Coturnix japonica: one gene and its partner. The protein of the gene in region 2 purifies or fractionates together with the protein of the main gene of each other region. This does not show direct contact. Links are inferred from orthologs where the notes say so. Each region holds a gene or a part of one and is shown on either strand. Other genes may lie near its edges. The genes, in order: TGFBRAP1 and ACVR1.

The links.
Region 1: the proteins of ACVR1 (region 2) and TGFBRAP1 purify together in Homo sapiens (co-immunoprecipitation; 3 studies listed by BioGRID and IntAct, counting the BioPlex papers as one, with this or other methods). This does not show direct contact. The link is inferred for Coturnix japonica from reciprocal best matches to the Homo sapiens genes ACVR1 and TGFBRAP1.

What each region holds. Positions count from the first base shown.
Region 1 is NC_029516.1:121,837,409-121,840,408, forward strand, and holds part of TGFBRAP1 (transforming growth factor-beta receptor-associated protein 1), read right to left. Parts: coding exon 2,798-3,000; intron 1,984-2,797; coding exon 1,795-1,983; 3' UTR 1-1,794. UniProt on the Homo sapiens protein: Plays a role in the TGF-beta/activin signaling pathway. It associates with inactive heteromeric TGF-beta and activin receptor complexes, mainly through the type II receptor, and is released upon activation of signaling.
Region 2 is NC_029522.1:29,815,513-29,819,335, forward strand, and holds part of ACVR1 (activin receptor type-1), read left to right. Parts: intron 1-2,173; coding exon 2,174-2,304; intron 2,305-2,988; coding exon 2,989-3,123; 3' UTR 3,124-3,823. UniProt on the Homo sapiens protein: Bone morphogenetic protein (BMP) type I receptor that is involved in a wide variety of biological processes, including bone, heart, cartilage, nervous, and reproductive system development and regulation.

The DNA of each region.
Region 1 (3,000 bases), on a different chromosome or scaffold from region 2:
AGGAAGTATCTATAAGCAGCACGCCAATGAACACAACTGGCTTCTCCAATCTTTGTAAAGCCTCCGCCCCTACCTGCAACTGTTTTGAAGACGTGGAACTAGAAATTTCTCATTGCTGTTTGTACACAGGTTGCTCAGAAATCAGAAATATGAGACACAGAACCTGCTCATACCAAGGCTACACAGGAGGATCACTCGTACCACAACTCAGAAATGAGAGAACGCCTTTCGGAAGGTGCTTTTCATTAAGTTTGTCTTTCATGTCTGAGCAGAAGGAGCTGCAAAACTTAATTACTTTCTTTAAAACTCAATACAACAGCACTACTGAATTCTGACTCAGCAAAGATCCAAATGACTTTTACTTTCAAGACAAAGAAATGGATACTCCCCTCCAACCCCCCCACATGTAGTCTTGGTTGCCCATTTCTGGTGTTGAAAAAGCTGTTCCATAAGCCGATGTTTCTGTAACAGGAGATCTCTTCCAAGCCCACATCCAGATGCTACCACGCAAATAACCTGCCCTGCTGAAAGACTCAGCTCTGGTTTGGAACACTAAAGCAGTAATCAGCTCTACTGGCACTCTCAGCTGCATTGAGCTTTCACTTTGAAATACTATTTTATTTGAGCTACTGTTTTTGAGCCTCTCTTGTGGGAAGCAGCCCATCAACTGCTTTAAAATGGTTGAATGATTTATCGTGCTTATTCAGTACAAGTTTTGCTGCTGTCTGGAAAACTGTAGTTTACAGAACATTTTGTAGAACACAACAAATCCAATATCTCTGTAGTGCACCTTAGAAGATTTCTTCCCAGTTATGCCACCTTCCCATGATTGCACTAAGTAATCCACAGGTATTAATACCCATTCTTGTTGAGTTTCAGTCTGCTTAAGTTATAACAAACATTTAAGCACATAACCTACACACTCCCACATCAGCTACATCCTTTATCCTCCATGATGATATAAGATAAATGTATTCAACTGTATGTACAGTATATTTGCATATTAATAAATAAACCAATATTAAAAGTTTCTTTTCCCATAAAAAAGTGACTACAGTCTGACCAGGTAATCTGACTTCATTTCTTCATCCACGCGCAGCTGTGTGACCAAGTCTATCAGTTTCCACTCAGTTTACTACAGTAACGATAGGAGCAGAAAATTATCGGGCTAGCGCTTAAGTTTAAATTCTATACAGCAGAGGAGAGAGGAAGGAAATAAGAGTACGAAAAAGTGCAAAAGCCAACAACTTGTAGAGCAAAGAACACGTTCATTATTGATCCTGGGGAAGAGAATCCAGCCCAAATGAGGATGTGCTGCAGCAAACATCATGAGCAAAGTGTTTCTGTCCTGACAGTCAGCTGCACGTTGGCAGTCTTGTGCAATGCTCCAAGAATTCCTACTCCAATAGATACCATCTCCACCTCTACAAATGTATCAACACCACATTCAGTGCAAAGTGACATTTCTGAAAATAATGGTTTACCTTGTCTCCGTAACATTAGTCCTCACTGTGGAAAAAAAGGCTCACTTTCTTTGACTGCTTATTACTATATACAGAAGTCTATATTTGCACCTCTCCATTTCTGGTAGTGATTTTTTTTCCCCTCTATTTACATTCATTAGAAACCGAGAGGCAATTGGCCATATTTTATACTTAAGTCTTCCCATTAACCCAATAACTATCTGTTCATCTTGATTTATGCTTAAAGTAGCTGCACTTGGTTTCTTTCAATTTTTCAGTCCACTTTCAGTGTGATATAAGTCATGGGAACCTCTGGAACCTGGAACATATTTCAAGTCTCACTGCTGGAGCTGGAAGAGCAAGGAGTCACATTTGAGTTCAGATGTCTGTTTGCAGCACAGTGTGTGTGGACCATACCCCCATTTGGGTATCTTACAAATGCGGGCTCACAGAAAGGATTTTGGCACACCTGACAGACCTTTTTGTCCGAAAGGAGAATTGGAGTTCCTTTATGTTTGACCTAAGGAGGAAAAAAAATCCAAATACGTATTTACTAATGAATGAAGTCAAATTAAGATACAGCAGAAAAAAAGCAACACTTCACTGGTTACACCTGTGAATTATTTCAAATGTACCAAATTGATGGCAAAAGTAGCTTGAACTATTTAACATGAAATTCAGTCTCTGTATCCATACCAGATTGTTTCTGTGCTTCACACAGAAAGGCACATTCAATGCAACTGAAAACCTGGTACAGCTTGCTAAACAAGAACACAACTCCACAGCAAACAGAGCACTGCTGAGTTCTTACTGCAGACAGATTTTGCTGGATAAACCTTCATTAGAAGGAAACAGATCTAATCATACTCAAAAAATCTTTAACACTGCTCCACATAATAACAAAAAAACTCCTCAAGTGGATTTAACAAAATCAAAAGCTATTAATAAGCTTTAATGCCAAGTGTTGTGCAAGCTTTCTTGCAACTTCTGACATGCTTCAGTCCCAGCAAACAAACAAACGAAAACAAAACTCAGTTGGTAAAAAATTGTGGAAGAAATTCATTAATCTGGAAATCCCAAATGTATTTCCATCATTCCATTCAGTTCAAAGCTGTTCCTTTTTCAAAGCCCCACCTCCCCTTTTGTGTAATAGGAGCATAACATTGACTATAGTAGCCATCACAAAAATGTAATAAATGTAGCAATTAGAATTGCCAAGGACCTGAAGTCAATTTTGCCCTCACTCTTAAGGTGTCTGATTATAATTAAATCCTCAGACTCGTATTAAAACTTCAAAGTGCCTCTATTATAAACAAAACATAACAAAACCCTACCTTCTCATATTTGTAGATCAAGTTTTCGGCTTGTGCTAACCCAAGTGCAACCTGAGTCATTCTTTTTGTATGAATGCTTTGCCTCACCGCTCCAGCCAGGAATGGGGAGAGGAGCTGCACTGACCAGCTGTCAGGCACCAGCTGCAAAACCAGAGCTGCATCAAACTCAGCAGCGTGGTTATTCAAGAGATCTACAGCAGCCG
Region 2 (3,823 bases):
GAGTGGTTACTCATGGCTGTAGAATGTACTTCCTCTGCAGTGCAGTCTGTTCCTTAGGTCTTAGCTGTCATTCCCAATAATGTGATCATCTTCGATGTTGATGTGAGACACCAAGCTTGGAAGGGCTGCTGCTCAATGGCATGTGGTCTGTGTTGTGTCTGCAGGGCTGTACCTGCAGCTTTGGGGTTTGTGGAGGTCCTGTATTGCTCCACAGTGCATTTCTACATACAAGATAAGCCTTCATGCAAGTAACAGAGGATAAAGTTGAAAAAAACTGCTGCTCTGTGAGAGTTCCATTGCATTTGGTTAGCAAAAATCAGCTCTTCCAGAGAGAGAAGCGTAGGGTGTTGTCAGTGACAGAAGTCGTTAAGGCTGTCCAGAAAATGGAGAGCTGTAGGTTGTGCTTAGCGGGGCCTCTTGTAGTAAGAGGCTCATTTCCTTTCCTCTGGAAGTGAGAGAGGGAAATGTGCCACAGTTCAGGACAGCGATCTTGCTGGGAGGAGGCGTGTGGGTGAGAGGTGGCACTTGGTGGCTGTGCCAACCAGCTGCTGCAGCCAGCAGCTGCCCCAGGAGCATTAGGGGCTCCGCAGTTACTCTGTTGGAGTAAAGGCAAGACCATGTTGACTTTGTGTTCTAATACTGTGCCGTACCTCAAATAGCCATCTGTATGTTGTTGGTTGGAATGCTTATGTGAGCATAGGAAACTGAAACAGAGCTGGACTTGCTCAGTGATAATCTGATATTGTAATGGCACTGGCAGCACCTTCAGGACTGTACTGTGTAGCTCTGAGGGTTTGCCTGTGAATGGTGTCAAACCGCTGCTTCCATTTCAAGTGATACAGACCCAAAAGAGCTTTTTTGTATTCTTAAATTCTCACAGACTTCATTTTGTGTTCTGAGAGGATGCAGAAGGAGGACATGACCAAAGTTCAGCCCTCTAGGTGATGTTCAGTATATGCAGTTAGTTAGAAGTTGCTTGGAAACAGAATGTGGCACACACAGCATGCATGGCTCGCTGTGAGCACACGTGGCAAACCTGTGGGCTGGTAGTGGCTGTGTTCTGGGACGTCCCTTGGACAGCCAGGTCTTTGAGCTCTTTCCCAGGTGAGTTAGGATTTGCTGAAGCCCAGTCCACAGATATGGAGATTTACAGACTTTTGCTGAGTGTCTGTGGGATTTTGATCTTAGTCTTCAACAGAACAAGAGCACTAAATCCCAACAAGCACTGTAGCAAATGTTGGAGAACTGTTTTTTCTGCTCAAGTATAACTTGAAGTAAAAAGTATCCTGAATTTTGTGTGTATCTGATTATAGACCAGCTGCCAGGCTGCTAAAAAGCAGTTCTAGCTTTGTTCTGTCTGTGCTTCTGCTGTACACAGAGGACTTCATTTGCTCACTGTTTCTCCGAACTAACTTGAAACACCAGTTTTTAAACTGGCTTCTGAAGAAAGCTGAGCTCCCTGGGTCATTGATGAGCTTAATCCACAACAGCGGCAGTGCTGCACGCATGCCAGAGTGAGGAGGCAAAAGACTTTCAGCAGGCTGCTCTTATGTAACCTGGGGACAAGTGGAGAGAACACGCATTAACTTCTTGTTTACTCACTTTTCAAAGCAGAATCTTGGAAACTGCATTCAGATACCATAGCAAAGCCTATACCTGAAGATGTGCGTTGCCACTTACCCTAAGCATTTTACTGTGTTAGTAGCAGAAATGATTTTATGCGAAGCACCGGCGTGAGGGTCAGTAGATGCTGACATCCATATGGGACTCTTTCATGATGCATGGAACAGCACAAAGCGTGTCAACCCTATTGGAAACAACAGTGCAGATGATGAAATTCTGTGCTGTTCTACTAGATATCTCAGTTCTCTGGTAGCCTGTAAACCTCCATGCCTTATGAAAGACGACTTTCCAACAAGTAGATTTACCTCTTATTTTGGCTCAGGCATCTCCAAAATGGATATAGCTTTTAATTTTGCTGCATGGTAGGAGAAACTCTTGCCGTGATAGTAAGTGCTATTCTGTTTTTCTAGTGACTGTTTAGCACGGCAGTGTGGAGTCTTACAGGTATTTTTGTGCTTCTCTGGTGGCTGGTTCACACATGCTGGCTTTGCAGAGGTGCTCTTTCACTGACAGCCATTTAATAATGCCTCTCTTGGTTGTATTTCACTAGGTATTGTAGAAGACTATAAACCACCGTTTTATGACCTGGTTCCCAATGATCCCAGTTTTGAAGACATGAGGAAAGTGGTCTGTGTAGATCAGCAAAGGCCAAACATTCCCAACAGGTGGTTCTCAGACCCTGTGAGTAGACGTTCCGGTGTATGGTTTGTAAAAGCTGACCCCTCTCCTGACCTGAAGCCATGCGAACTGCTCCTATAACCATCTGAAGCTGAGATCATCTCAGTGCTACTTGCCAGCATAGGTTTCAGACCCATCTATGTGTGCACCTTGATGTTACAGAAGGAAGAAAACTCGATGAGCAGACTGTTAAATCTGAGCTATTCTCACACTGGCCCTTCAGTAGTAAGAATTAATAATTGTTTTCACGCTACTCTTCCTTTGTTATTACTCACTTTCCAAGGGAGGGTGTACATGGGGGAAATGAAGCCTGTTAGGCCTTTCTGTGGCTCATAAGCACACAGACTTGGAGCAGTGCTCTGATTCCCCTGCCTCCATGATAAGGGACAGTTCTCTCTGAAAGGCGACTGCTGCTTGAAGTTTTCCTTCACCACAGTCAGTCTGGACCCCTCAGACTACTGTTCTAAAGTTGTGATGGTTCGACACCGCAGTCAGCCCATTGTTGAGTCACTTATTCTCTTTAATTATCAAACTCTACTTTTCAGCACTCAAAAACTGGTCTATTTGAAATGCCTAATAGATGATGCGTAAGGTGGTAAAGCCATTCTGTGTTAGGGCCCAACCTATTGCTGTTCTGGCTTGTGATTTGTGTACTTACATGTGTGTTTTGTTGTTATTCTTTTCCAGACGTTAACATCTCTTGCCAAGTTGATGAAAGAATGCTGGTATCAGAATCCATCAGCACGACTAACAGCCCTGCGAATCAAAAAGACTTTGACCAAAATCGATAATTCCTTAGATAAACTGAAAGCTGACTGTTGACCTTCTTCTTGTGGTGCTTTCCTGACAGGAAGGCACGTGTCTGGCTCAGAGGCAGCCCAGCCAGGCAGTTCGTGTAGTCGGTCCCCATGTGGCTTCTTACAGAGGCAGCAGCTCCTACCAAGCCATCCATCTGGGAGACACCGGAACCATATGGACTTTGCTCAGTGACTGCAGTGGGCATTTCACAAACGGTCAAGCTATAAAGACTCATGCTGGATGTACTGTTGCAAAGGTAGTGGCCTGAAGGAAGACAGAGAAATCCTAAGACAAGATCAGGGCATTAAATAATGGCTTTGAACAGCTTCCCCCCCCCTCCCCAACCCCCCCCTTTTTGGTTGTTTTATCTTTAAATTCTCCTAATCACTCCCAGGGTGAACACGCGGAAGTGGTAATTTTAATCAGCAATATTGCCTGTGCTTCTCTTCTTTATTGCACTAGGAATTCTTTGCATTCCTTACTTGCACTGTCACTGTTAATTTTAATGACATGACTTGCCAAAAATACGATTGGCTGCATATACTGCGTTGATCCATGCCTGAATAATAGGAAAAGAATTTGGACAAAAGGAAAGAAAACGTAACGGTCAGATTTTAGCTGCATTTTACGTGTACTGATGTTTACAATAATGCTGAACATTAGGAATTTCTCGTTTATACAAAACTTGCAAATTATTTATTACGGTGCACTTGCCAGTTTCTAA